Oreochromis niloticus: one gene and its partner. The protein of the gene in region 1 interacts with the protein of each later gene in a pairwise test. Links are inferred from orthologs where the notes say so. Each region holds a gene or a part of one and is shown in the gene's direction. Other genes may lie near its edges.

Region 1 (16,268 bases):
TTTCTAGTGGATAAAAAGTAAATTAGGAAACAACACAAATGCTCCTTTAGGTATTCGTACACCGGAGGGACACATAATTTAAAATAAATTCCATATAAAATATAACATTTATGAACACTTCTGCTGATCTTTAGTGTACTGACAATGACTGACTGAGAGGAACAAATAGATAACAAGTAAGTTATCTTACATGACTGTGAGAGTATTCATCCATCAGGAAAATTTTAAAAACTGTATTAACATAGCTAACTTTTCCACAAGGAAAGATAAGTTAGAGTTTTTTGCATATCAGAGTGTACAGATACAGTTTGTTTATATATGTAGAAAGAGATCATTAAGTCTTCTTTGAGAAAGTTTGAAAGGCATAAATGACCTTGACTTGGTTGGGCTGATACTGTGGATAAGGAGGCCTAAACGTCGCATTGGGTGGCACCATGCATGAGCTGGGGATTTACAATGTCTCTAGACCGCACACAGACAAATCAGAAGAGTGAGGGATGGATGAAAGGAGAGCGGAGATATGGAAAAGTAGCAACAACAAAAAAAGAAGATTAAATGTGCCCTGTTTTAATGTTACAGAATTATATATTTTAAGCTGTTCTGGGGGCAGAAAATGACTTATCGTGATAATAATATCAAATCACTGAACTGCAGGCACTCATTAAATTAAATAACATCTTTGGATTACAAACTTAAGTGCATTCCAACCAAAGACCATCACATAGTGAACCCAAAATTACCAAAAATGATTTTCTTTAGACAGTCTGCACACTTCTGACATCAAATAAGGCTATACGCTCATCTGTTGTTAAAATATAAATTAATCACAGCAAGTACCCACAGCACCCTGTTTAGTGGAATCGAAACAGCGTATCAGCACAAATACCTGATACTAACGGTCGAGCATGGTGGTGGAGGGGTAACGATTTGAGCTTGTTTTGCAACCTTGGCACTTTTCAATGAGTCAACCATAAACTCTGTATACTGTAAAGTACTCTAGAGTCAGATGTGAGGCCATCTGCCTGACTGCTAATGCTTGGTCCAAACTGTGTCATGCAACAGGACAACGAACCTAAGCATAGCTGCATTGGCGTAACTTTGTGCTGAACAAAATTCCCAGATGAATAAACATGCAACTATTTTGCATGATTAAATATGCAAAATAGATTTTGCTGGTAATACCTGAAATGAGTAAAGAAAATCAACAGCCTGTCTATGCAAGGGGGGTCATAACCCCCCTAACCCCCCTGGAAATTACGTCCCTGCACAGCTGCAAATCTCCAAAAGAATGACTGAAAATGAAGAATCAAGGTGCTACAGTGGTCAGTCGAAGTCCAGACCTCAACTCGGCTGAAATGCTGTGGCACAGCTTTAAGTGAGCTGTGCATGATGCAAATTCAGAGAACTGAAACAATATTGTAAAGAAGAGTGGGCCAAAAGTTGTCCACAGTGATGTCAGAGAATGATAAAGTAATAGAAAAAAAATGATTACTTTAAGTTATTGCTGCTACATAGGTTCTACAAGCTACTGTGTACTTAGTTTTTTAACAGCCTCATTCTGCATTTAGATTTCTTAATGGAATCTCAAAATGTTTCCTCAAATCAAGAAAACTGAATAAAAAAATTTTTTCAACTCAATATGTGGCATACAGTAGAATATATGTACTACTCATTTTATATGAGTTATGAGTTAAAAATCCTTTAAATGTGTCCACTGTACATTTGGACACATTTAAATCAGCTGTTGCGTTCAAGTAAAAGGTGAAATGGCTGTGCTAAACTACTATACTATATGCTATACTACCCCAAGGCCATATTTCTCTTAACTGGGTATATGATTACATTTCACAATAGTCAGCTTCGACAGGTCACACTAACTGCCCGCAGTACTGCTGACAGATTTAAATAGAGAATATCCCAAAGTATCAAGGAACCAGCATAAAAGGCAAATGGAAAAATGTGTTGGTATTCCAATAAGTACAGATTTGTATATCCTTCTCGTTAGATCCTGTTTTCTCTGTGGAGTCTTTCTCTATTCACTGTGAAGTTTTCCACCTCTGATTTGTGTATCAGGAGAAATGCAGTGTAGCCATGAAGGAGAAAGCAATGTGTGCTAAATGGTCCATAAGCCTGGCCTGGCCTGGCCCTGAAAGCCCCTCTGGACCCCATATGGTGAATATGTGTGGACTAGATGCATGGATGCACGGCCTACCCGCAGCCTACCCATACAAATATATAAACACATGCAGATATTCAAAAACTCAAAAACACAGTACATTAACACAAGATACATAAAAATACAACTATGCGTGAAACTGCCAGCTCTCACGCAAATGAAATCTCACAACTACGCAAGCCCTTAGGTATTTCACGTGCAACAACTTTAAAATCCTGCCAATCAAGATAGCAGTGTCTCCACAGATCCTTCTGCACTTAGTGAACTACTACAGATACCATGTTGTACTCCCCCCTAATCCTGTTTGTGAATTGGGGAGCAAAGGGGAGCATAATTGCATGCTTAAACGCCTGAGAAATGGACATCCAGTTCTGCTGAATCTGTGCTTTTTGTGTGGCCTCATTGTTGAGACGTGCAGTCATGCAGTTCTTTGACTTGCAGTCAGTGTTGGGTTAGGGGTGGTTCAGAAGAGTGGAAGTGGGGAAAATATTGTCTAGGGTCCAGTTATTTTATTTCAGTATCAAACAGTCCATGCTTGCCCAATATGCCTGGCAGGAAGAGTGTGATTATTACCAGAGTGGAGTAACACAGGCAGAAATCGGACGCGTTTCCCTCTTTCCATTGCGTTTCTGTCCTGCAGTTTAACACTCTTGTTGTCAGCGATCTAATCAGCTGTTTTTTTGTTTTTTTTAAGGCCCTGTGGAGAATTTTGTAGCAAGATGCCAACTACACAAGCACAAGGACACACACACACAGACATGAACAGACTCCACAGTCAGTTATACTTTCTGGTTGATGGGCTTTCTGGTAGTGTGGCCAAAGAGGACAAACAAAAGGCTCTTCTATGGGGTTGCAGTGTAATGAGAGGCAGTGTGATTGTAAATATGTTGCTCTGCAGAGTTTTCCATCTCACTGCAGGACAAAGGGGACCAGCCATCAAATTCGGGTCATTAGAGGCTTCTACGTTGTAAATCAATTTGCTGAGCAGAATACGTTGCGTCATCATCTGTCTGTGGCCCCAAACTGCTCAACAGAGGCTGAAGGATTCTCCACTTATGAAATCAGAATGACAAAAAGTGGTTTTGTATATTTACCTCTTACCGTTTCAGTGTGGTCGCAGGCCTGAGAGCACTCTGACATTTAGAGGGAGGTTAATTATCAGTTTTTGGAGGAGCGAGTGTGTGAGAGCAGAAGGAGTTTGGATGAGACGTGCTGGATAATGTTTAAAGTTTATTCAAGCCTTATATAACTTTATTAAAAAGAACTACAGCACTTTTGTCTCCAGCCTTGCTAAATGGACACTATTTACAGTGACTAGCTCTTACATTTATAATGATAAATGAGACAATGACAAGATAATGGGTGGATTTCAAAAAATTGCAGCTGTGACAACACAATTTGAAGTGATTCTGAGACATCCTGGCATCTTTAAAACAATATAAATACATAGATGACAGTCTTAATTGCATACTGCCTATGATTTGGAGTGGTGCAGTCTCTAAGGATGTAATCACGTCAGAAGTCAGTGATGCAAATTATCTTATTAACTGTATTCAAAACTACAATTACTGCCTGGGAGTTGTAGAACTCCTCCGCTGGTCAAAATAAAGTTTATATTCATGTATTCATATTTAAAATGAATAGCACATAGACAAAAGATCTGTACAGTCACCACAGGTTCAGAGTGGGAACCCAAGATCTGTATCCAGCCAAATGTATGAACATTATGAAATGTTAATAATTGAGTAATGGTGTTGAATAATGGCCAAGAAGTTTTTCGGGGGGGTTGCGGAACATTAAATTTGTCACAGTAAAGTTTCTCCTTTGACCATTTGTACATGTATGATTTTTTTGTCTTCCTCCCCTCACCCCAGCTAGTCATGCCAGATGGCGACTCCTCCCTGAGCCTGGTTCTGCCAGAGGTTTCTTCCTGTTAAAAGGAGGTTTTTCCTTCCCAATGCCACCAAAGCACTTGCTCAAAGGGGATCATATGATTGCTGGGTTTTTCTCTGTTTTCTTTGTATCATTGTAGGGTCTATACCTTACAATATTAAGTGCCTTGAGGTAACTGTTGTTGTGTTTCCTGCTATATAAATAAAACTGAATTGAATTAAAATGATTCACTTCTGTGAAATTTTGTAGTAGTACAAAATTAGAGTGAGCATTAAAAAATTATGACAGAAAGATGTTTTGTTAGCTATTCACATCTAAAATCTCTGTATAATATCCTTTTGTGGCCAGTTTAAAGAAATTACCTCAGGGAGTTCCTGATATTTTTCATTAATTTGAACAGTACATATGGACAACTGGAGGAATTGAAAGAAAGTTTTCATAAAAGTAAGATCATTTCCTAGAATTATACTACCGTGAATGGTTAGAGAAAGATTAGCTCTGCAGCAAAAGACCATTACTATGAAACCAATGCAACTGGTACAAAAAAAAGTAAAAACATGTCAGAAATGTTCATCTTTTTTAAAAATCCACACTCATTTAATTAAAGCTTTGTGGATATGTTGCTCTTAGACATCTTACTTAATTTAAATTAAACTATTTTCAGCTTTTGCAGGACACACTTATACCATGAATGAATTAAACAGATGAATTAAACAACTACGACGAAGAGAAAAGCATGAATTATCAACCTAATTTTCCGTCTGTGCAATCAGTGCTTATGAAGTTGAAACTGTCATTTTTGGCACAGTGGTAATTGCTTTTGGCTCATAGCGGACTTTCTGACTCATGAGAGAGAGGACGTGGAACACAGGAGTGTTTCCGAAGCTCCCGAGCGCAGGACAAGACTTCCATTCAGGTCTTTCTAGGCGCTGATTACAACGTACGACAGAAGTTTCACCCATGTCTGGTCCAACGCTGTTTTATTCAAATCAAACCTCAACTGAAGCAAATAAATCCGACTGAGATTAAAGCTACTGCTGCAGGAAACACCTCGTCCACAAAAGTGCATGTTCTTAAGTCAATACAGGTAGGTTCTTAGGAAAGCCAGTGGGGAAATTTCACCATGAATGCAAGAGAATGCAACACTCTGACCTAATTAGAATAAATTAGAACATATTTCCTTTCTTTTTTTTAGAGATTAAAATGTTAAAATGTTAAATATTCATCTCAAGAAAGCACAAAGCTGAGATAGCAAGAATGTTATACACAAAGTCATTACTTAACAGAAGTGAAAACTAACTCGTTGCACTTTTACTTAAGTGTACTTTTGCAAAATTGAATTTTTTTTCTATTTAGTTTAGTTTCTATTTAGTCACATTTCAGGAGAGATCACTGCAGTAGACCAAAAATACCACCATGCATGTTACTTCTCATACATAAGTAAATATCTTCTAGATCAGCTAGATAGATTCGGAATTTTACTATAGTTTGGTTTATTGGGTGATGTATAATGTATGAGAGATTTATAATCACAACTTTTGGTGTTGCATTTTTTCCATAATGATATAAACACAAAAAATAGTACAACAGTAGCCGATAAATGTACATTTATGCACCAGATAAAGATACATTTTTATGGGTGGCTACAATGAGTTAATATCTCTGCACACCTGAATGAATAATCTATGCACACTGTTTCACTTGCCACTATTTATTTTCACATTTTTATTATTTTTATTTTAGTGCTGGATCTGACCACTTCCATCTTCTCTTTTTTTGGCAGTTCAGAAATCAGGACCCATATTCAAGTTAGAGTTTGTCTGGCTATAGAGCTGGCTCAAGCTGAAAGGCGAGCAGAGACAACATGGGCTTTCTTGAAGGCAGGTAGGCTCCCAAGAAGGCTGCTATAAATTCTAGCTCTCTATCAAGTTTTTCCAACATAAAAAAGAGCAGTGATAAAATAAAATACATCTTTTTTCTCCTCCAATTTGATCAAGAAGAAGCTAAGTTTGAAAACCATCAACTGATTTCAGAAATGAAAAATCAATATCCAGCACTTGGCACAATATCTCAAAGAAGTCAATTAGTCAATTTTGAAAATGAGAAGGTTTTGCCAGAAGCCAGTAATCTATTTATCTCAACTCTATCTGTCTGAGTCGTGAATTTCTAACGGGGCCAGAAAAGGTCCTTGTGATTTAGTGAGAGAACAAGTGTGTGTGAGATGTAGTGGAGTATGTAAACCGTTTGACATCAGTGTTTGGGCTTTCTTTATGAGAACATCTGCAGCAGCTGCCCTATAAATTCCCAATGTTGAGAAAGCAGGAACAAAAAGTTCCATTTTTGTATAGCAGTGTACCATGGCAAGAAGCGGACCCAGTCGTGCCTCATCTGGAGCAGCATGGCCGGCGTTTTGGGAAAATCAAATTGGGGATGGAGAACTGAGATAATGTTGGTGTATGTTTACAAGCCGGTTCTGCACAGCAACAGACAACCTTGAAGAGATCTTACTGATTGCCACCATATCAGCCTCAGACAACAGGCAAGACATCTGTCTTGGTTTTACTTTTCAACAGACCAAATCTGTGTGGTATTCTGGCATTTAATGGGAAATATTGGCTGATGTGACAATGTTGTTGTTTCCTATTTAAGAATGTCTTCAGTGCCTGTGATATCTAAATGTTAAAGTTTCAACTAGCCCCATAGACATATCTGTTTAACAAATCCCATAGGCAATCAGAATTTCACATTATTAGCACATTATTAGCAGACACACTCAGTGCTAAATTAAACATACACTCATTCAAATGCTTCTGGCTTCTTGGCAGATTTTTGGGACTTTTCAGACTTGTGAAAAATGCTGACAATTCAATTCAATTCAGTTTTTTTTATAAGGTGCCAAATCACAACAATAGTTACTTTGGGGCAATTTATATTGTAAGGTAAAGACCCCACAATAATACAGAGTGACAGTGGGAAGGAAAAACTTCCTTTTAACAGGAAGAAACCTCTGGCAGAACCATACTCGGGAAAGGGCTTCCGTCTTTTGTAACTGGTTGGGGTTATGGAGAAGAGGCATGCTGACATGCTGTGGAAGAAAGCCAATAATGAATAATAATAACTAATGATTAAATCCAGAGTGGTGTATAAACACAGAGTGAGTGAAAAGGTGAGTGAAGAAGATTGATTTTAGTGGAGGGAGAAATCCAGAAAAAAACAACACTTTACATAAAAGTTACAAACTGATTTGCATGTCATTGAGGGAAATAAGTCCCATCCCTAAAACTCAGCCAGAATTATTGTTCCCACAGATTGGCTGTGTGCCATGATTGCAATCAGCCAATCAATCAATCACAGATACTCCTGATCTCAACCTGTATATCGAATCATCCCGGCTCAGAGTGACGCTGAAAAACTAGTTATGCATTTATTCCTTCTAGCCTGGACTATTGTAATTTACTATTATCAAGATGTACTAAAAACACCCTGAAAAGCCTTCATCTTATCCAGAATCTCTGCAGCATGAGTACTGACAGGGACTAGATAGAGAGAGCATATTTCTCCTAAATTGGCTTCTCTTCACTTGCTGCCTGTTAAATCCAATTTTAAATCTCATTTAAAAACCTGCTCCTCACATAACAGATCTTAAATAATCAGGCCCCATCTTATCTTAATGACCTTTTATCACCCCATTAGAGCACTTCGCTCTCAGACTGCAGGCTTAATTGTTGTTCCTAGAGTATTTAAAAGCAGAATGGGAGGCAGAGCCTTCAGCTTTCAGGCCCCTCTTAGGTGGAACCAGCTTCCAATTTGGATTTGGGAGATATACACCATCTCTACTTTTAAGATTAGACTTAAAACTTTCCTTTTTGCTAAAGCATATAGTTAGGGTTGGATCAGGTGACCCCGAGGCCTCACTTAGTTACACTGCAATAGGTCTAAGCTGCTCCGGGATTTCCATGATGCATTGATTGTTTCTTCTTCAGTCACTTCACTATGTGTTTATAGACCTCTCTGCATTTAACTATTACTTATCATTAATCTATGGCTCTATTTCAGAGCATGTCTTTGTGCTGTCTTCATCCACTTAGCCCCAGCCAGTCATGGCAGATGGACACCCCCTCCCTGAGATCTTACCTCACGGGGTGAGGATAATCATGACAGGATGAGGATCATCCCAAAACTACATGGGAGGAGTTTGTTAATGATCTGATGGCAGTCGTGACCACAGTCACCAACAACACCACTGGTAACACACTACACTGTAATGCAGGGATGTAAAACTCATTTTACATCATTTGCTGCATACAGCCTACTTTAAGTCCAGACCAGTGAAACTCTCCTTTCCCTCAGTGTAAAGAAGGTTAATCCTGAGACATTTAGTTATGAGATATCCTAACATAAGAAAAGAAGTACAATTTCAACAGTATGTCTCAGTTTTTGTACACGATAAAGAAATGCTTCTGTAGTAAATCATTCACTACAACTCTTTGGGATTAAGTTGTAAGAAATAAATGTGTTAAATGACAGAAAAAGGGATTTTTTGTTTATTTCACTGAATGTATTTTTATTTAGTTAACTTATAATAATTATATAATTAATTGTTTCACTGTAAATTTCTATATTAGACTGTTCTGTTTTTTTTAAATATTTAACTATTATTTATTAATTTGGTGTAGTATAAATAGCCATGGGGAAGTTCTTTATCAGTACAGTTAAAAAATAAGTCCAAAATTTATGCCCTCCTTAACATTTTCCAAAGCCATCCAGGGGGCTGTATTGCATCCTTTTACAGACTGATTCTGACCGCCTGGCCTTATGTTTGTCACCCCTGCTATAATGGATTAAAATTTTGCAGCGTATGGAAGTTCCCCCTGCTCAAGAAGGCATGTACATGTACAAAAAGTCTGCATCTGATTTAAGAGGGCTCAGCTACAAGGTTTTTTGGCTGCCAGCAGATACTGCAGGTGTACTGGTCATGTAGAAACTGGAGGCAGCAATTGCCTTCTTAGGAGAACATATTATATGCCACCATCTGCTTTTGTCAATGATCATGCCAGCAGGGTACCAGGCAGAGATGGAGAAAGTGCATCATTATCCTCTTTGGCAGGTTAAACTTTTCATCACTGTCAGGAAGTACAAACTCTGCTGTTTTGGGGGGGTTTCTTACAGAAAATCTACAACCAGCTCCACTGCTAATATGTAGGTTCTCAATGCATAAGGCCAACAAATGATCAGTAACCATCTGTGGACAAACACATCCTCACTCAAGTGGAGCCAAGTGAGAGTAAAGTCTTAGTCCATTTACTATGTTTTTTTTTTTTCACTTAGCCAATTCAGGACTGGAACCTATTCCAGCTATCACAGGGTGAGAGGCAAGGTACACCCTGGACAGTTTACCAGTCTAAAGGTCCTTTCACATGAGAAGCTGGGTGGGCTGACCACTGGGTTAAATGAAAGTCCTCTGCACTTTGCAGGATGTACTTACTGTACATAAAACCTTTGTTATCAATTTGAGCACCTACAACTTCAAGTCTCAATCACACACATATTCATACAGAACTTTTATCTACTGTACCATTCATTCACACACACCACACAGATACATCAGAGGCAACTCTGGGTTCAGTATCAATGCACAGGATGGACTGAGGGAACCAGGGATTGAGCTGCCAACCTTCTGATTGGCAGATAGGTAGACCACCCGCTCTTCCACCTAAGCCACCTTAGACTCACACAGCACTTTCCACACAAGAGAGACGCATGGTTAAAGAGATGAAATAGAGCGAATCATTAAACCAGACAATGTTTAATATATTATTTAAATCAAATCAACAAAGCTGCACAAACGACATTTTTATATTTACATTTATTAAATTTAGATTCGTCGGTGAAATTTGTCGAAAGTGCGGTATCGATTGTGAAAACAGATAAACACTAGGCAGCCTGCAGTGGAGCTGATCCTGCTGTGAGCCTGTTGTGCCTTTTCCCCAAATAAAGGACTCTTGGAAGAGGAGAAAGTATGAGCGACTTACTCGGAATTACGTGACTCACACAGATAGGTTTTTCGTTCCTATTTAACCATTTTCCTTTTTTGTATATGATGGCTGAGCTAATCTAGCAGGCTAACAAGCTACAGTGCATTTTCCTCTACCGGAAGAAGATCAGAGAGTGCAGTCTCTGTTTCCTCCTGATGGCTTCAACTTCTGCAGTCGGAAAAGGTATTTTTGTTCTGTTTTTCTTCCTATTCTGTCTGTTTTCTCCGTAGCTAATGTTTATATTTCTATCAAGTAGCTTTTACGTTCAGTTTTACTTTCACAAATTAGTGATTAGCCATATTTTAGCAGTTGGTGGTAAATGTTCCCTCCTGTAAAGAAATTTCTTTCCTTTTTTTGACCCATTTCTTAAAGAGTATTTGCGAAGATTATTGTTATATGTTATAGCCAGTGTTATATTTGTCCAAGGTTAAATTTGCACTCATTTTAATGACTGGAGTTAATGTGAAATTCTTTAATACATCTACATCATTAATAAATATAATGTCACCATGATTTTGCAGCAGAATGGCGTGAAGGTGACAGTTGTCTGGCTCTACACCCAAGACATGGTGTCCTGAGAGAAGCCACTATCCAGAAACTGACCTCCAGCTCTCTTAATGAAGATACAGCATGGGTGTTATTTAAAGACACTAATAAAGATGTGGGAGAGGAAGAACAAGAGGCGGAAGCCATACCTATCTCAAAACTTATGAGACCTGGTTTGAGGGACTTCATGCAGGAGAAACCTTGGTTTCCTACCAGCCTGATAGACCCCAGGTTATGTGTCCCGTTAGAGCTGAGTGATGCTCATGAAGACCGAGTTCCCTATACCATCAATAGATACCTTAGAGATTACCAGCGGGAAGGTATCAGGTTCATTTACAATAACTACATCCGTTCCAGAGGTTGCATCCTGGGAGATGACATGGGCCTGGGAAAGACTGTACAGGTACAAAGCACATTATTTTGTTGTGAGAACTGTTAAAGTGCCAGTGTTTGTTTTTAATTTGGCTTCCTGTGGCTCTCTTCCTTTTCGTTGTTGTCGTCTCTTGGATCTTACCTTAGGTCATTGGTTTTCTGGCTGCTGTATTGCACAAAACAGGCACATGGGAGGACATTGCAAACAACAGGCCCCAGTTTCTGCAGAGTCAGCAGTCATCTAAGCAAAGTAATCCCAGCAAAGTAGGTTTTTTTTAAGCTTGCTTACATAGAAATGTGACCTGTGTTTTAACAGAATTTTCAAGAAAAATACACACACTATGTATTTGACCAAGTGCAACAAGTGACAGCAGTGAAATATCACAGTCACAATTTTGACATTTCTACGACATTTCTGTTTAAGGTGTTCCTTATTGTGGCCCCGCTGTCAGTGCTTTATAACTGGAAAGATGAGCTGGACACATGGGGTCACTTCCAGTGTGTGGTGGTCCACGGACTGAGGAAAGAGGAGGAGTTGGCCCGCATTAGGAAGGGGCGAGTTGAAATTGCCCTCACTACCTATGAAACTCTTCGTCTCTGCCTGGATCAGTTTAATAAGTAAGACCCACGCCTAAAAAACATGTATAGTACATTTAGTACTATTTATAAATTAGGCTCCTTAAGAAATGGTTTATTTTGGTTTTTATTTATTTTTAAGGCACCTTAGTTGCATTTTAGATCAATTTTGTGCCGTAAATAAATTTGCCCTATCTATTTATGCCCTAGATTATACCTTTGCCTCTTCCCTACAGGATTGACTGGTCTGCTGTGGTTGTGGATGAGGCCCACAAGATAAAAAATCCAGACTCTCAGATCACTCAGGCCATGAAGGAGCTAAGATGTAAGGTTAGAGAGCTTGTGTTGTTATTTCAGAATTCTCGTATTTAGTATGGACTACTAATGAGTCTGTGTCAAATATCTGATAGTGGAAAGTGTATTTGTATTTGAGGCTCTACACATTAATTTCTAAACTTTTTAGCAAGCTCAACTTTGAGTCAGGATTCTAACTTTGTATTTCCATTAGGTCAGAATTGGTCTCACTGGAACCATCTTACAGAACAACCTGGAGGAGCTGTGGTGTGTTTTGGATTGGTGGGTTAAAATTACAACCTTCTTATCTTTTAAAAACTGTGCGAGGCATAAAGCAGTGCAAGTCGGGAACATGTTGAGATATGGGAGGCTATTTCACTTTACCCTTTCTTTTTACAGCCCTCAGCAAGTGTTTGACCACTGTAGGATTTCAGTTGCTCAACATTTCTTGGCCTCCTCTGTTGTTTTTATTGTTTCATAATTTGCAGTGTTTTTAATGGGCCATGATAGGCTGCCAAGAGAGGGACTGTGGTACTGCATGAGGAAATCAGGAGTGGCAGAGAAAACTATGAGGTTGGTGCAGGACATGTACGAGGACACCAGTGAAATGTGAGTTCAAGCTGGAAGTGGGATTACATCACGGATCAGCTCTGAGCTCTTTGTTATTTGTGATGGTAATGGACAGGTTGACAGATGAGGTCAGGCAAAAGTCTCTGTGGACTATAACGTTTGTAGATGGCATTGCAATCTGTAGTGAGGGTAGTGAGCAGGCAGACAGGCAAAGAGCAGCAGTAGTGGCGTGCATTAATTTAAATACCTGGGATCAACCATTCAAAGCAATGGATAGTTCACAACAGTGAAGAAGCGAGTGCTGGCAGGGTGGAGAGGGTGGAGATGAGTGTAAAGGGTGATGTGTTCCCGAAATGTTGCAGCAAGTGTGAAAGTAAGGTTTACAAGATGGTTTTGAGACCTGCTGTGTGCTTATTTGGAGATGACACCACTAATGACCACAGGAGGTACAGCTGGAGGTGGCAGATCTGAAGACGTTAAGATATTTTAGCTTAGGTTGAGCGGTTTCGAGACAAAGTTGGAAGATTGAGATGTTTCGAACATCCAGAGCAGGGATAATGTATATATTGGACAAAGGATGCTGAATGTGCACCTTCCAGGTAGGAGGTTGAGAAGAGGACCACAGAGAAGATTCATACATGTAGTGAAGGAGGACATGCAGAGGGTTGGTGTTGGAGAGCAGCATGCTAGTTACAGCGTGAGATGTAGTTAGATGCTCAACTGTGGTGACACCTAAAAAGAGCAGCCTAAAGAAGGCATTTTTAACTAGACCATTTTAGCACCTGGATTCCCTTAATGCAAACAGAATGTAGGTTGGCATCATGCTGCTGAAATAAGCCTTCCCTGAAAAACATCTGTGACTGTTCAACATCAATGGTCCCATCAATGTGCAGAGATGGGCACTAATACCTCCACAAATGCTTGCCTCTGGTCTCATCATTAACAGGAACCGTTTAATGCTTTACATCAGTCCATCATAGATGTGATGGAGCTCTTCAACAATTAGCACATTTTAAAAATCTTACTTTAATATGTAGACTTTGCCCCATTTTCAGTTAAATTTAATGAATTGCATTATGTTTTTATTTAACTTCTATGCAGGGATTCAGATTTATGTTTACTTTTCTCTTTAGGGCTATACCAGGTTGTCTTGATAGCTTAGGCCACTTCAAGAACAAGTTTTCAGATCCAATTGAGCAAGGGCAGAGGCACAGCGCAACCAAACGTGCTCTCGCTACAGGGAGGAAGGCCGTCAGAGCCCTGGTGAGGAAGATTTCTCATTGGTTCTTCAGAAGGACTAAAGCTATTATCAAAGAACAGCTGCCCAAGAAGGACGACCGGGTAAGACTAGATGTCAGAGTGACCAACACTTTTATCATTTACTGTCATTACATTTTTTTTAATTCAATCAAATTTATTTGACTTAATTACCTTCTCTTTTTTGGAAATTGCTTATGTATGTGTTGTGTTTCGTCCAAGGTGGTGTATTGCTCTATGACAGAGTTTCAGCAGACAGTGTATCAGGCAGTGCTCGACAGTGAAGATGTGACATTACTCCTAAGGTCATCAGAAAAATGTGACTGTCACAGCAGACGCACCCGCAGAAGCTGCTGCTATAAAGTTCGTTTTTCTCTTCTGCTATCGTGTGTCCCTGCAATTTACCGAGCACAACTTGATTCTATATGTTGAGACCAAACTCACTTTTATTGGATATTTTGTTTGTTTGTTTACATTTTATTTTGCCCACTTTAACGTATCACATCAAAATATCACAATTTATTTTAACTGCAGTCTATATAAAGTGTCTTTGTGAAGGTGCCTGATCTTTTTTTTCATTAAGTAACTGTTTTAAACTTCATTATAGTCTGCTAGAATACACCAAGTAATAGATCCCATTAAAACAGAAAGGAAACTTTATGCTTTTGCATAAAAATCACATGTATAAAAATCAACAAAAAGATGCTTTGTCTCTTACATTAAATAATATTTTCCTTCTATCATAGACAAACACTGATGGTGTTCATATGAAGGAGCTGTACTTTAGTTACCTGGCCATATTGAGAAAGGTTGCGAACCATGTAGCACTCCTTCAGTCTACTCCAGGCACCAGCAAGAAACAGGTAGAGTTGTGTTTCTTTGCACATGATTTTGGATAGATTCTCTCAAGATTTGGTTCATTAAAATGACTTTTCTACTTATTTTTAGGAAAAGTATGTGAGTGCTGTTTGTGCAAAGGTATTCCAGAAGTTTCCGGAATTTGTGCATAGATGCAAAAATGAAGCATTTGAAGCCCTGTCAGACCCAATGTACAGTGGAAAAATGAAGGTAAAGCACGAAAACAGCTGTGTGTGATCTCTTCACTGGCGGTTTCTAAAGGGGGTTAACAGGTTTATGCTTTCTTTTAGGTGCTGCAGAAGCTTCTCAAATTTTATCTACAAAAGAGAGATAAAGTGCTTATTTTTTCTCTCTCAACCAAGGTGAGAGCTGCGTTTGCATTTTTTGTGTTTCTGTGACTTTGGATGTGTGATTGAAGGTTTATATGTTGTGCAAGGAGTGAATTAAATACTGAGTCATATCTATTTTGATAGATTCCAATTTGTTCATGTAAATCAGGAGTTTTCTTCTAGAGTTCAACAGGGTCTTTTTACATTATACATATTTTCCTTAGGCGGTGTTATTAAAAAGCACTCTGTGCAGTTTCATTGCTATGCCGATGATACCCAGCTTTATTTTTTCATGAAGCCAGATGATACAAATCTACCAGTTAAATTACTGGCATTTCTTAAAGACCTGGATTACCTCTAATTTCCTACTTCCAAAACTGAGGTTTTTGTACTTGATCCTAAAAATCTTGGAAACATGGTGTCTAACCGGATATTCTGGATGGCATTAACGTGACCTTAAGTAACACTATGAGAAGTCTTGGAGTTCTTTGTGACCAGGATATGTCCTTCTGTATGCATATTAAACACATATGCATGTGCAAATATAGGACTCCCTTCCTTCATTTGCAAAATATCATCATGTCTCAGAGTGATCCTGAGAAACCAGTTCTAAATCTTTCCGTTAAAAGAGAGTTTTTCCTTCCCACTGTTGCAATGTGCTTGCTTATAGGGGGTTGTGCAATTGTTGGGGTTTCTTTCTAATATTGTAGGGTTTTCACCTTACAATACAAAGTACTTTGAGGCAACTGTTGTTGTGAATTGGTGCTATGCAAATAAAATTAAATTGAACAAAGGAGCAGCCTGAACCCGGCTAATCGCTTCTTCTGTTAAATGAATTGCTTATAGGATGTGGTTTTCTCATTACATCATGTTTATTTATAAGTTTGTGGTGAAGACAATTAGACTGAGACTGCAGTCTAATGGTTGTAGTCACCTGATACAGTATAGCTCATTTAAGCTTCAGGTATATCAATCAGCAGTTATTATAGTTTTTGCTTTCTGTTCAGTTTAATTTCACTCTCTCCAGGATTACATCAGGCGTCTTTGTGAGGTTCTGTTGAAATGCTGCTGCGTCTGCTATAATTCTGGAATTAGTTTCAGAGTGGGTTTACTCGTTGAATTTTTAATAGTTTTAGATTTGTTGTCATTATCATGTAGGTGAGATTAAAGTGCAGAGCAGTCTGATAATACACGGTCACATAGGCTTAAGTCTAAAAGTAATATTGTTATGTTAAGTATTGTTGTGTTATCTCAGTTAGGTTGTTTTAAAAATTCTGTTTTGTTTTCATTTTAGTTAACAACACTTTCACACTCTTTTTTAGGGTTTATATTAGTTTTAGTTAGTTATAACCTTGAGGCTAA
Region 2 (15,595 bases), on another chromosome or scaffold:
ACAGTCGCGCGCGCGCGCACACACACACGCACACACACGGCGGAGGGACCGTGCCAAAAAGCCCACTGAGCATAAGTCTGTCGGTGCATTGCTGTGAATTCCTATTCAGAGCAGAGAGCATGGACACATTGGCTCTAGCCTTCTCATTTTTCACCAAGGACACTCATCACCTAAAGCCCCAAAAAGCTGGCTATAGAGCCGGAGAGAGATGGAAATGGAAGCCAAGTGTAGGTGGGATAGAGATTTTCCTTTGATGTGTTAGCTTTTAGGACAAAAATACTAAAAACTACTCACCACATCCACTGGAGGATTTGTACTGTATTTTATAGGTGAATGTACTTGCTTTAAATCAGAAGCTCGTCACAAAAAGTGGGACATTTGCCAGTTCTCCCTTCAGTTGATCAGTTGTATCAAAACCTCCCTATTCTACTTGTTTTTCACATTCAATGCATGTTTACAACCAATCAAAGAAGCAGACAAATCTGAATATATTAAGTTGTTATACCATTTATGAATACTTTTAATCTGATACTGGAGGATATTCCTCAGACTTTCCTTCAGAAGCTACAGGGAAATTTCTTTAAGTAAAAATATAATTACTATCAACAGTTTAAAGTACTTCTACTTGTTATAAGTAATAACATATAAAAGTATAAGTTTTTAATATGTATTTAATCATTGGATCAATATTGCTTATTTAATAACATTCAAGCTGAATTAATGTAATTTTAGCTTTTTTAATCATGTGGGAAAACTATTATGGTACAAAGTTAATAGTACAAAAAAGCCTCAGTTTCAAGTACTATACAAACCCAATCACAAAAAAATCACAAAAAAAGGTGAGATGCTGTATAAGACATGAATAAAAAAAGAACTCAGTGATCCGCAAATCCTATTAACCTGTATCTTTTCCACAGTAGCCCATAGAAAACCTATCAAATCTTTAAACTGAGAAAAAGTAAGCAAGTGAAGTTTATTTGTAAAGCGCCTTTTGCAGACACAAGACAAGTCACAAAGCACAATCAGTTACTAATAATAAGAATCTCAACAGAAAGCTGTTAAATAATAAATGCTTTTTAACAGCAGGAGACTATTCCAAAGTCTAGGTAGCAGAGATTAGAAAGCTAATCTACAACAGATTAAAAACACGCCGACACGCCTCACAAACACGCCTCAAACCACAGAGCAACACAAACCAAAGCCAAAGACCATACTTATTTAATAGGTGGGTAAGAAAGTCAGCAGGAGATAAACGCTCGCTCACACAACATGTGGACTTTCACAAAGCTGCATCCTCTGGGCTTGTGTTTGAAAACAACACTTTCCCCTTTGACTGATTATAAAGTGAAGGTGTTGTCTCGGTGTTGCGTGAATCATTTATTATCGGCGCATGTTCGGTTGAGAAAGAGTGCTTAAACTCCACCTCACCCTGAGCCGTGTGAAGTCTGAACTCAAAGTGTCCACGCATACCTGCTGTTACACTCACAGCCAGTCCTCTGGTCCTCTGCCTGCTGCTCGTTCACTGAAACACATGCAAACAAGTACACATACAGGTACACTTTCACCACACATCAAGGGTATTCAAATCCACATCAGTTACCATAGCAACCAGACTTTAGTCTTGGCTGCTTCTTCTGAGGTAATCAGAGACCTAGAAAGCAGAGGTTTAAGGGGGTTTGACAGAGACGGGGATCAAAGTGGAACAAAAGGTGTGCTGCTGCTCCAGAAGGAGAAAAGCAAGCAGAAGTACTGTTGATTTCTATTCCCCTGTGAGTTACTGTAATGTTGAGTATTACTTCAGTAATACTCAATCTTTCTGATTTCCTTTCACATTACTACAATTCTGTAATTTTTCTCAGCTTTTAGAGCTTTCTGATTCTCTACTCGATAAAATCATTCTTAACCCGGCCGTGCATGTGTGGGCTCCATCTTCCATTAACTTATCAATGAGCTTACGAAATAGACTATTTAAAACAAATATAGTATTTACAAGTTTTCTTCTGTTATTCACAGCACATTTTGAGACACTTTCTATGATAACACAATCACATCTTGTTCTCATTGTCACGCTGAAGTGGACAAGAGGATGCAAAATGCTCAAAACTAGGATATTCAGACAGTTGCTATTCCATGAAAAATGGGCATCCGCCTAGGAAGATTACAAAAAGCTCAGGGACAGTCAGTAAAGAACTGTTGGTGAAATTTATTGGCCTGCTTTGAACTTTTTGAATAGAAAAGTAGAACAAAACACAAGTTGGAATGTTTTTCTTGTTTCAAAGTGTTTCTTATTTTTAAAACATTAGGAAGGAAGGAAGGAAGGAAGGAAGGAAGGAAGGAAGGAGCCTGTATGCCTGTAAAGAGTAGGGATCTGTTCTTTAGTACACTGCTGAAAAAAATAAAGGAATACTTTAAAAACATCACATGTCAATAGGAAAAAAAAATGCATATTTAATGATATGGAATGTGTTAGGAATTACAGGACGCCACAGAAACTGATGAAAATGAAAACGATCAACCTACAGACAGATGATTTCAAAAACACCCTGAAAGTGAAAGTGAAAAAATGATGCACCAGGCTAGTCCATTTCACAGCAAATAAAAATGTTACTCAGTAGCTGGTATGGCCCCCATGTGCTTGTATGCATGCCTGATAATATCAGTGCTTCTAATGAGACAACAGATGGTGTCCTGGGGGAACACCTCCCAGATGTGGGCTGTGGCATCGCTGAGCTCCTGGACAGTTTGAGATGCAACCTGGTGGTGTCGGACGTAGCGAAACATAATGTCCCAGAGGTGTTCTGTTGGATTTAGGCCGGGCAAACGCGGAGACCAGTCAATGGTATCGATTCCTTTAGCAGTACAATGTTCTCCACAGCTTCTCCAGACCATTTCACAGCTGTCACATGTGTTCAGGGTGAACCTGTTCTCATCTGTGAAAAGCACACGGCAGCAGTTATGGACCTGCCAATTCTGGCAAATATGGCAAATACCAATGGGGGTCCTGACGTCCCCAACTAGAGGATATCGGGCCCACAGGTCAACCTTAATGAAGTCTTCTTCTGATTGCTTAGTCAGAAACATTCATGCCAGTGGCCTGCTGGAGGTTGTCTTTGTAGGGCTCAGGCAGACAGACAATGTGCTGGGAGACCGTGGTACATATTGATCCTAGTGGAGTTGGTTTGCCTGTGCAACCTCTGAATATCTATATTCCATGTGGACTGAACAGCATGACAACAGTCATAGCACCCTCTGAACAGCTGTAGAGTAAGATTAGATAAAGTCCAGCTGGAATGTTGACATTTTTTGCAACATCACAGTGTTTTGACAATTAGATGCAAAACTGCAAAACTGAAGAAGACACACAAAAGAGGATAATGAATTCTAAATTGTTCGTTTGCAGGGCTGTGAGTTTTAATTAGCATTTTGACTAGAGTCTCAACGAGGCAAGTGATTGCTCTTATGAGCGTGTGATTACAGAGGAAATTAGCATCTTCAATTTGCAGAGTACACGGATGAGTGAGCCAGGTGAGTTGGTGAAATCAACTTTAGCTCATTTTAGCCTTTCTTTTCTCATTATGAAAAGGCACAAGCCCATGCACAATTTTGCAGTTTTATTAATCTGAATGAGCTATCATGGACAGGTTCATCTTTAAGGTCATGCATTACACACAAGGACGTTTCATGGAATTCAACAGGAACATGTAACAACAGGGTAAAGCAGTTCCAGTGGATCTTTAACCCTTTCCAAGCACAATACTGCCACAGAAACACGCTGCCTGGACTTGCTTTGAATCTATGCCACTGTTTCCTTGAGCTGCATGTCTGCGTGTCACCATGATAAACAACAGATTGATGAATTTCGAAAAAAAAGAAAAAGGCAGTTTTATCAGCTTCCAAGGGAAAGTTATTAAGATCCCACCACGAGCCTGTGATTGACAGGAAATCCCAATGGATTTGGCCTATTACTGCTGATGAAGCAGCACAGTAGCCTTCAAGTCTCAAGTTTAACAACGGATTACTCCATCCCAGCAACTCCTTATTTATCATCATAGAGTGGGGGGTTTTTTGGCTCTGGAGATTTTACGGCCTTTGGGCACTGGATGTTACAGCCGTAGATTATGTCACAACCAATCACCCTCACGCACACTCTGCGGCATTAAATCCTACACTCAGCCGAGGAGACCAACTTGCTCTTCTAGTGTGGGCCATAAAAATCTTTAATCAGCAGGCCTGTGGCATAATTGACCTTTTCCTTTTCTTTGTTCTTGGGGTATTTAAAAGCTGTCAGTCCAAAACCTGATCTTCACGGAAATGTAAACTGATGTTTAATCATCCCCATAGATGACGCGTTACATAAGAACCAGCTTAAGGTTCAAAGTCACGTTGACCCAGGAGACCCAGCCATTGACTGCGAACACACATGTCCCATTCCTAGAGAGATTTAGACATATGTGATATCAGGAAGCACGAAGCGCTGACACTAAACGTTATACTGATCTCAGGCCCACATGACAACAGATTAGAGAAAGAAAGAAGGGCAAGAAAAACGACCCTATTAGAAAGAATGTCGGAAAGAGAACTATAGGTTAAGCTTTTAGAAGATCACAGGGCTAAATTCATATAAAATCAGTTTTGGTTCTAAATATACCAAAAAACAGCCTTTTCTCTTTAATCTCAGTTTTGTGTTTTTAAGTTGTCAGTACTCTTCCTTCATTTCTGTCAAAATGTTAAAAGGAATTACAGATTAACGTGGGAAACCACATCGTAGCCACGTCATGATGAATTCCAATCAAACATACATATATGCAGATAAACACAAATAATAAAAAGAGTGAAAGGCTGCATTCACACATCCGACGCGTAAACACATCCAGAACTTGGAAAATGGGAATGACTGGCTCCATTATGTTTTGTGGCAACATCCAAACGCGACCTGAAAGATAAAAACTTGTCTCTGCTTTTCCTTAAGTGTCAGGTTTTCTTCTTTGTGTTCTGCTACGCACACAAAAAAAGAAAAATGTTACATTAAGTATTGCCAGACCTGCAAACATACTCTTTCATGGTCCTGTATAGATTTGCAAATTCACAGCTATGCCATAGCGAGAAGGCGTTGTGTCTGTGCCAACAGATAAGATCATTCAATGGAAAATTTTCATTCAATTTAAACATTCTGCTCTTCATAAATCTTGCTCTCTGGAGCCATATGGCCAATCACAAGGAGGGCTTCTGAGCCAGATGGCCAATGGCAATGACCCTTACTCAAATCAGGGTTAATCTCAGGAAGACTACGATAAGATTACTCTGCTTCATACCAATTAGAGCAAGAAGAACATGTGATTGACAAGCCTATGGAAAATCAGATATTATATAATTACACTTCTACACTGATGAGCCACAAGTTTAAAACCACCAACAGGTGAAGTAAATAACACTGTTCACCTTGTTGCTGGGAAACCTTAACTCTTGGCATTTGTATGGCTGATACTTTGACACGTGTCAGCCATCTAAACATTGCTATAGATCCAGCCCACCTCCCGCCATGGCACTCTGAAAGTACAATGCACCTCGTCATACAGCTAGGACTGAGATCACAATGATGACGCAGCCTCAAAACTCATCAGATCCCGGTCTGACTGACTCCAAACTCCCAGTGCCAGACATCACAGGACATCCCCAGAGGTTTGTTTAAAATGATTCGACTTCACAAAAATCTACCGTGTGAAAATTTAATATAAGAAGATGTTACAAAAAATTAAGTGATTAATTAAAAAAAGAGGGTTACTACTGAAAAAGACATTTAAAAAGTGTTTAACGAAATCATGGTGGTGATATTCAAGTTTAGCACATTTTGGGCATGTCTGACCCACAAATTCAGCAGGCTAGAAAAGCAGCGACAAGATTTACTCTATTGGCAAACAGAAATCTTCTTAGCACAGCCTGATCTGTGGATGTGGCAGCAAGCCTGGAGGAGGATGAGTCCAATACTATATTAGGGTCTACACAGATTTGCATGCGTGTGTCTTTACGTTTAAATCATTTTTATATGATTCTTTTGATTTTGCAGTGATGCCACTGAGTTAATGATGATGACAAGTTGTAAATACCATGCACAGGGTTAGTGAGGCGTTTTAAAAGTGACAAATTGAAAGCAGCTCAGTGAGAGTGCTGTCTGAAACCCTCGTGCTTTATCGGTGGCCTTTTTTTCCCATAATTCATGCTTGGTGGATTTAAAAGCTATTCCAAATTAGAGTCACTAATACAGTTTGTTGTTAGTTAAGAGCCCCTTTTCAGTGCCATCTGTAAGAATAAATAAAAATAATATCGTGGTAGATTTTGAGGATTTTTCTTGCCAGTTCAGGCTGCTGGTTATTGTTTTTTTCTTAAAATGCAATGAACTTAAGAGCTTAAAGGAAAATTACATTGTGAACACATCTTGCTGTTAACATGCTGTTTGCCTTGAGATTTCTTTTTGTGTCCCTTTTTTCCACTTTTTAATTTAGTCAAACATACAAAGCCGGTCCTTGTAATCAAAGCCTAAGCGCTTGTAGGCAGGGGCTTTAGAGACATAATTAAAAGGCCAGAGTGAGAGAAGGCAGCTTTGGTGTACAAAGTGACAGAAAGTGAGAGTCTGATACAAGGTTGTTTAGAACATCAGTGATTTAAAGAAGAGGATAAAAGGACAGAGGGAGGAGAAAGGAGTAGAGTGAAAGAGCGAGAAAGAAATGTGTCATGCAGCTGGACAGATTATCTACTGATGGCCCATAAGATCAAGTCACACATGGCTAGAAGTCATCAGCACTCCAGCATGTCCAGATTGCATTTTAACAGCTACAAGCATCTAACTGTATCTCTAAAGTGGGAGGACACAAATCAGAAAGTGGTACTGGTTTATAAAGATTACTATTATTTTATTTATTGTTTTAGCTTACGTAAATGGCCTGTATTTATATAGCGCTTTCTAGTCCCTAAGGACCCCAAAGCGCTTTACATATCCAGTCATTCACCCATTCACACACACATTCACACACTGGTAATGGCAAGCTAAGTTGTAGCCACAGCCACCCTGGGGCGCACTGACAGAGGCGAGGCTGCCGGACACTGGCGCCACCGGGCCCTCTGACCACCACCAGTAGGCAACGGGTGAAGTGTCTTGCCCAAGGACACAACGACCGAGACTGTCCGAGCCGGGGCTCGAACCGGCAACCTTCCGATTACAAGGCGAACTCCCAACTCTTGAGCCACGATCGCCCTACGTCTGCTTTTTTGTGCTTGAATCTGCAGAAGAGCTGAGACAATAGAAAGTCCTGGGCAAGAGATTGGAAATTAGATTAGACCAGACTTATAACACTCTTTTAATCACACTAACAGTACTTTTGATCCTGATTACTTCCAGCAAAATAAAGCAAGCATATGTGAGCACAAGTAAGTGTGCAATGATATGGAAAGAGAAAGAGATTTGCAGAGATTTTGTGTGTACTGTATATAACTGTGCATTTTTTAGAACACATAATTTAACATTTGGACCCATGCATTTGTGTATTAACTGGAGGAGCACGAGGATCATTAACAGAAATGTGCCACTAGACTAACGGTTTTCAGTGATAGTGGTGCATTTTTGAAGTGCGTCTGTAAGCTTTCAAACTCAGTCTGCTATCAGTGCCATCCACTTACCATAAACTGAAGTGGAAACAGCTAAGCTACATTTCTTATTGATTAAGTACTGGCTAATGATGTTTTCCTGATGTTTATTTTTACTGATGTTTTTATTGTTTTATTCGTAATAGTGTTCACATTCTTCTCTACCACTTTTAGAATTGTTTTATTATTTTTTTAAGTTATTTGTAGATTCACTTATTTATACTCCTCAAAAACAAAAACAAAAGAACTGGAATGGTTTTAAAGGTGGAGGCCAGTGATGTGTTTTTCCTCCTCCTAAGCTGACTGTATGTTTGTTTGGTTGGTTGGTTGGTTGGTTGGTTAGGGTCAGTGTCACTACTCTCTACAGAGGTTGCACAGGCAGACCAACCCTGCCAGGATCAATATGTACCATTGCCAGAAGGTTTGCTGTGCCTTTCAGTACAGTCTCAAGAGCGTAGAGGAGATTCCAGGAGACAGACAGTTATTCTAAGAGACCTGGACAGAGCTGTAGAAGATCTATAAGTCATGAGCATGACCAGTATCTGCTCCAGAGCACTGCCAGAGCAACAAAATGACCTCCAGCAGGCCACTAGTGTGAATGTCTCTGACCAAGCAATCAGAAACATTCATGAGCATGGGGTCATGGCCGAACGCCTTCTAGTGGGCAGGACCAGTACTGGTGCCGTGTGCTTTTCACAGATGAGAGCAGGTTTACTCTCACCCTTTTTCAAAACAGATTCAGTAGTAAGAACAACAGCTTAATCTGTGTCAAGATCAGTTTTGACAATACAGTGCACCATGTACCAAAATATTAATGTCAGATAAGGGGGAAGAAAGGAAAATATGGAAGATACTGTACAAACACTGGCTACTTACCCTCAAACTGAAAATTTACCTTGTGGTTTTCATGCCTCTGCCCACCACTCAGGTTGGGCAAAAAATGTTAGTATCATATGATGCTACTGGGAAGTTTGCCTTTAACCTTTTTGAAATAAGTGTTATGATGTCACGATTTTGTCTTACTTGAATTTTTGTTGATCCTAAAGTATGGGAAAACACGTGTTCTGTGAGTTCACTGTGACTTTTGAATCTTGAAGTCAAAGAAATTTTCTCAAGGTCCTTTCAGATATTGTATCTCTGGGACAGACAGTGAGATTACATAATGTCTTCATTCATGAGTGCTGAAATAAAAAGCAAATCTAGAAAGTTTTAAGCTCAAAGGGCGTGGTGGGTGAAGGTGGGGGTTAGATTTCTTACAGGCGTTAGATGAAAAATAAAAAAAAAAGTAGCGCTCTACCGCCATCTAACGGACAATAAAGTCTGAATCGCTAAAAAAAAAATGCCGTTTGCTAATCCTTTGTTGTCGTGGCTGTATGGTGCCATTACATCCTTGTCCGCTAAGTGTCGCTAGCAACTCTGTCAGCTCGTGACATCACGGTTACGCTCTGCTGTGATTGGTTGTTTTAGGGTTGTCAGCGGCACCAGAGCTCGTGCAAACCGTGTTGTAAACAGTAAGGTTAGCCTCGTTTCATTTCACGTGATGTTGCGGCAGACTTTGGAAGCGTTGTAAAGCTGCGTACGTAAAGAGAGCGGTATGTCAGGAAGACACAGGTCGCTGCCTTCATGGATGGCAAAAAAAGAGGAGAAAAGCCAAGAAAAGAAGCCACTGAAGAGAAAGCGGAAAGCTGCCAGGTAGTTATCGTAAGAAACACGATCGGGGTCGGTTTAAGGCCCCATTTAAAGCTCCTTAATTTTTTTTAAACTTACCCAATCCACTGATATGTTCCCAGGTCTGCTTTCTACTGTATGAACGAGCAAGAGCTGGTAGAAGCAGCTGTTTCCTATTTCACAAACGGCTCATGTGAGGACCTGACACTCGTGACTCGCCAGCAGGTGGTGCTGTTTCTCTTTTCAAACATTTGATTTCCTCCCCCACATGCCCTATATAAGTAATATAATGATGTTTTAACATCACAGTCCATTATATCCAATATTACTGTATGCAGTTAAACTCTTAATCATCACATGTGGGTTACTCTCTTAACCGTCGTTTAATATTTGCTTGATCTTCCCTTCACCCACACCCAGGGTAAACAAAAAGCAGTGGACACAGTTAAGAAGATGGGGAAATCCACAAATTCACAGCTGACAGCAAATCCAGTTGCTGCAGAGGAGTCCCCATCAGACTGCACTGAAGATCTGGACATGACGTATGTTTCAGAAACAGACTTGGACATTACAGAGGTGGAAACATTACTGTACACCAGCAGCCCGCAGCAACAAACACCTGAGGGTCAGCGTTCAGGAACAGTTGAGAATGTGGAGGCTGGGAAGACGAATGAACCACCGCAGACAGCAGCAGAGGACAGCGATGCCTTACGCCTTGTACGGGAAATTTTTTTCAGCTGATTAACTTATTTGACACTAAAAAGTTTTTGCATTAAACTGAAAAGTGTCAGTTGGGGGAATGCTTCCTAAATTACGAATTCAGGTGAGAGTCCAGTCAGTACTTGAGGACACATAGCTCACAGCTCATCCATAAAGAAAAAGTTTGGAGAACGGATCCATTAATTGATGTCTCAGAGAGGTACATCCCAGCAGCGCTTCACAGGACTACATACGGAGACAAGTAATTAATTCACCAAAGCTTCTGCACTGAAATCAAATTTCAGCGCTTCAGTCTATGTTTCATTGGTATCATCTAGCACCTCGTGTGAGGGGAACTACTTATCTTACAGTGTGACAGTTACTTAAGTGTTGTGTTTGTTTTTTTGTCACTTGGGTCCAAACTCTAATTCAACATAAAATTGACAACATGGCATTTTTTTAGGTTTACTGAAGGTTTTAATGAGGAAAAAAAAACACAACGGTTTTTGTTTTCACATGCATGACACTGTATATGAAACTGACAGCAGTTGTGGGTTTTTCACCACAAAGGTTTGGTGTTAGAAATGTTTCCACCAGAAGACCTAACAAGTTGCTGCTAGTACCCTGAGCATGGTACTGTTGCAGTACAAGTGCCCTTGCTCTGTGGGGAGAAACTTGAAAAAAGCCTTGCTTTTGCATTAAACTGGGTGTAATTAAAGCATACTGTTATTCATGTGAAGTAACTAGAAATTGTAGTTACAGAAATCACATTACTGTTGCTCCTTGAATATATGAGGTAGCAGATATAAGAACACACTTTGAAAAATAAATATATTCTTTATTCCTCATAGCTTATATAGAAATAGCTATCAGCACAATTAGGGTACCACTCACGCATCCACCAGCTGCACATTTCAGACTCAACAGATTTTTTGTTGTGTTATACATTATGTGTCTTGGCTTTCATAAACCACTTGATAAAGTGATACAAAGTGATATTACAGCACCAAAAGACACGTTAAACATGTTGAGGGATACAGCTTATCATTAAATACATCATGACAGCAATTAACATATTCTCCAAAGCAGATTCGTGTGTAATTGCATTAATATAGCACTTTTCTACTTTTACGGACCACTCAAAGGTCTTTGTGATATGATCATAATCGCTTTTTTAAACTGCACAGTCTGTGGCTCATGTTTGCATTTAAGCAGGGATGAGCTTAAGCATTTCGCTGCGTTCCCAGTGTGATCTCAGTCGCTTACCTGACACATGGGTCAGTGCAGATGTGATAGCCAGCTCCATCACCACACCCAAATAGATATAGAACCAAATGGTTATGTTTTGCCAGCTCACATATGACTGATAGACAAACAAAAAACTACAAAGGCCAGCCAGGCTGAGCAAGCCTGCTCCGACCTGGAAAGTTGTGCTGCAAAAGATAGCAGGTTCGTCATTGTCAGAGATGACTGAATGCATGCCCATCAGGGCAAACGCCACAATAATCACTGGAAAATACACAGCTAGGTAAACCGCTACTCTGACAGAGTTAGAATGTGGCTTAGATAAAGTCTCAGCTTCAGCTCCTTGGGATTGCGATAGCTCGTACAGGTGACTCTTATGCACATTATCACAGGACCATTCACCAGTTTGTTGGATCTGACAGAATCTGTAGGGGCTGATGAGGACTTTATCGGAGTGAATGAACACACCATCAAAAGGCACCAAGGAGATCATCATCTGAACCATGACAAGCAGGAGAAGCAGAAAGATCCCACGAATGTGACACAAGGGACTCCTCACAGCACATCGGACTCTCTGCTCAGGCCACATCCTCACTAATCTGTAGATTAAATAAAGAGTCATGCGATGAATCAAAACAAACATTCTGCAAACTAAGCACGAGAATGATATATATCAGAGCAGAAAAGAGAAGCTCAAAGTACCACAGATCCTAAAGACGTTTGACTGTCTTGCAGCATAAGAACACACTGATGTTACAGTACATGTGTCAGTGGTTTTGTGTTCAGCCTCAGTCAGCCGATCAGCACGTTTACTTCCCCAATATGAAGGCCTTATGTCATATAACTGTATTCATGTTCCTGTCATCATGACTATACTGAACAACTAATGCATAAGCTTTCTAAAAGGAAATCTACAACTGCCCAGGGCTTTAATAACACACGATTTAGTGGTTTCCATTTAAAACTTTGACAGTGAACATGCCTAGTTTAATGGCAGAATGTCTAGTTTGACTGAGTAAGGCAGATCCTTTAATTATTATTATTATTATTATTATCGTTTTTGTTGTTGTTTACTTACGTTTAGTAACCGAGAAAGGGCAACGAAGCCAATCTGGTTCAGGAAGTTCAGTGGTTGTGCGCTGGAGCGCGCACCGTGGACGCGGAGAATGTGCGCCTCAGCAGTCTGTGCAGGGCTCAGCTCCTCTCTGCTGTGCGCACTTCGAGCGGTTTAACAAGCAGTCTCCTCCACAAGCGGGATCATCAGCAAATTTATATATTTATCTAGGCCTGCTGCAACGCCAAAAGTACAAAGGTTGGTGAAATGCTATTATCCTCCTAGACATTTTAACCAGTGTTTTTGGTCCTCTACTATTTGGATACAATTTAACAGTCTGAGCACCGCGATAGGGAGGCGGGGTCGTCTGCGAAACTTGTTTTTCATTTCGCGATCACCAAGTATTAATGTTTACTGGCTAACTTATGCTCGCATTTTTTAAATTTATTCTTTTAGTAGCGCATAATACTAGTTATGTGAGTTATGCTTCGTTTTCATAAGCGACTGGAACATATTATTTTATAGAATCTAAGAAAGACAAAACAACAATGAATCTGCAGACTTTAATTGACCTTTTAAAGTAAGGGGATGTTTAGTGAAAGTCTATGAAGTGGCCAAAAGTTGTGATTGCACACGTCATGATGTGTCCAGAGTGTTTTTTGTGGTCGGCTTGTGTATGTCAGGGTAAGGGAAGTAAAGAATTAATCAAACAAGTGCTTTAGTCAACAGCTTTAGTTGGTCCTTGGGCGCTCCAGAAACATATTTAGACATCTCAGAAAAAGTAGAGCACACAGTGCAAAGAAGAACATAATGTACTAAAACACACAAATTTCATTTCCACCAGTCAAATAAGCGTCTCTCTTGGCATTAGTTTAAATCCATTTACATTTATTTTGACTTTCTGTACAGGCTCATTATGGGAAACAGGCTCAGCAGAAGGCGAGAAACCCCAGCCAGCACCCATGAAACTGTGGCTGCTGAAGAGAACACCACAAAGGAGCCAGGAAACGACTCTGCAGTAACAGAGACTCACGAAGCCGCCAAAACGGAGGATTTAGATGTGGTGGTGGGAGAGCCAGTGACACCAGTGGCGTGTTTACCTAATGAAGAATGTGTTGCGGAGTTTAAAGAAGCAGAGGCTTCCAGTGCCTCAGCCCTGAAAAATGATACAGAACCAGCACCTGTGGTAAAGGAAGCCCCAGTCCAACCTGAACCTCAGGTCTCAGCCAGCACACCTTCACCTTCAGAACCAGCTGCTGAAGCTGAGCTTGCTCCTGACTCCGAACCAGACATTGAGATAGTCCAGCCCATCTCAGAGCCAGCACCAGCCTCAGTGGAGCATCTGGAGAACCAGGCGGATCAACTAACACAAGAGTCTCTCCATGAACTGGTTCTTTCTTCGCCCCCTTTGACCGACTCTGGTCCCCCTGATTTCGTGCCCTCCCAAGATCCCAACCCTGTCCCAGTCAATCCAGACGAGCCATTAGACCTCCCAGCAGGTGAGGAACGCCAAGATGGTGATGAGGCTGCTGACAATTCCACGCTTGAGCCAGAGAAGCCAACAGAAGCACATCTGGAAAAGCCGATGGAGGTGGAGGCTGAAGAGAGTTTGGAGAAGCTTGGAAGTGATGTCAATGAGGAAAGCGTTAGTGAAACCCCAAAGAACTCGGAGCTGAGAGGAAATGACCTTGTCAGTGACCTCATTCCAAGAGATGTCAATGTCCCTGATGACACTCCCATCACAGACATGAGCACATCTACTGAGCTGATGTAAATCAATCAGAGGATTCATGAAGGAAGTGAAACCCTCTAAATCTAAATTGTGAATGGATCGAAAAACAGTGGTTTGTCTCACCCTAAGTGCCCACATTAATGCTAATATAGCCTTTTTTTTTTATTTTAAATGAACCAAAGGTGCCGAAAAGCAGTGTGTGTGTACATGTGTGTGTTGTGATGGAAAGAAGAGTGACCTAGAATACTTCATTATTAGACAGAGATCTTCATCTATGAAGATCTAGGCAGAAATTAAATGTGTCTTGTATATATTTGAGCAGTTTTTTTGTTTTAAAAAAATTTGCAACAAAAAGAAAAATGAAAAGAAGGTTAATGAAAGAAATGTAAAGGACAAAGAATGCAACTTCAGCTGGAAACGGCATATGCATTCCACAACTGGTTACAAGTATCTACTACACATTTATGAATTAACATAGTAATACTTGGCATTTTCAATAATCCACTAATCAGAATGATTGTCATCTTATGCAATTTTAAATAAAATAAATGAATTTTCAATTTCAAGTAGTTGCCTTTGAAAATAAACTGGCATTTACACATAACAATCTTGCTCCCTGTTTTTCAAAAGTATATTTTATAGTATCTGGTCACACTGAAGATTCTGGGAATGGATTTTTGTGGGGGAGGAAAAATAGCAGATATTCGGGGCATGTTTGACATACTACATGTACGGGGCACTCTGCAAATGGCAATAGAAATCTATGTAGCAAATCCCAGTTCATTTAAGAGGGACTGGAGCTTCTCACTGTCTCGTGGGAGAGAGGACATCAGAGGAGGGAGGAGAAAGGGGGGAGACTAAGCCACATTCTTTCCAGAGGAAGGAGATTTTCATGGGGCCTGGGTCAAAAGTCTTCAGTGTGACTGCATTTCAGTCCATGAGAAATCTGTTCCTCACATGCCTCCCCTTGCTTACACTACATTGCTATCCCAAAATCTTGTCTGAGTAGTCAGGACTGGTATGAGAGGCCACTCCTAAATGCCTTAAAACTTTAATCTACAGTCATGTGGAAAGAAAGCACACACTTTTGCAATACTGTGGTTTAATTTATCAGGTCATAAAAAATAACCTAAAACTGGGTAACCACAACCTCAGATATTACATCATAACAAGATTTAACCACAGTGTAGAAGCAGTGTGTGAAAAGCAGCCGACAGGTGCTGCTAACCAAATACATTTGATTAATTGATAATTAGCAAACGTTTGCACCTCTATAAAAGCAGAGATTTTGGCAGAGTGCTGGTTTGGAGCATTGCCCATTTTTTCATGAGTGGAAAACATTTAAGACGGTTTCCAATCTTCCCAGGTGTGGATATCTCCACGTGCACGGTGGTGGAGGGGTGAATATTTGGGCTCAGTTTGCAGCTACAGGATCTGGACACATTGCAGTCATTAAGTCGACAGTGAACTCCTCTGTACATCAGTCTAGAGTCTCACGTGAGGCCATGTATTAGTCTTTTATATCCTCGACAATAATGTGAAAGACTGATAGTCATAGA

What was found.
Region 2: the proteins of ercc6l2 (region 1) and si:ch211-127m7.2 interact in binary tests that used the Homo sapiens proteins (3 or more experiments, as listed by UniProt). The two-hybrid records come from large-scale screens. The link is inferred for Oreochromis niloticus from reciprocal best matches to the Homo sapiens genes ERCC6L2 and CYREN.

The regions. Positions count from the first base shown.
Region 1 is NC_031977.2:22,934,600-22,950,867, forward strand, and holds the start of ercc6l2 (DNA excision repair protein ERCC-6-like 2), read left to right. Parts: upstream 1-9,977; 5' UTR 9,978-10,259; coding exon 10,260-10,287; intron 10,288-10,625; coding exon 10,626-11,053; intron 11,054-11,169; coding exon 11,170-11,286; intron 11,287-11,446; coding exon 11,447-11,640; intron 11,641-11,834; coding exon 11,835-11,928; intron 11,929-12,106; coding exon 12,107-12,174; intron 12,175-13,595; coding exon 13,596-13,803; intron 13,804-13,941; coding exon 13,942-14,082; intron 14,083-14,465; coding exon 14,466-14,582; intron 14,583-14,667; coding exon 14,668-14,787; intron 14,788-14,867; coding exon 14,868-14,939; intron 14,940-16,268. UniProt on the Homo sapiens protein: Promotes double-strand break (DSB) end-joining and facilitates programmed recombination by controlling how DNA ends are joined in a spatially oriented manner during repair.
Region 2 is NC_031972.2:55,542,116-55,557,710, reverse strand, and holds si:ch211-127m7.2 (cell cycle regulator of non-homologous end joining), read left to right. Parts: upstream 1-9,069; 5' UTR 9,070-9,232; coding exon 9,233-9,330; intron 9,331-9,405; exon of another isoform or gene 9,406-9,428; coding exon 9,429-9,531; intron 9,532-9,726; coding exon 9,727-10,047; 3' UTR 10,048-10,464; downstream 10,465-15,595. Other genes in the region: neto2b (neuropilin and tolloid-like protein 2), read right to left, coding at 1,429-1,468; fibrous sheath CABYR-binding protein, read left to right, coding at 13,221-14,078. UniProt on the Homo sapiens protein: Cell-cycle-specific regulator of classical non-homologous end joining (NHEJ) of DNA double-strand break (DSB) repair, which can act both as an activator or inhibitor of NHEJ, depending on the cell cycle phase.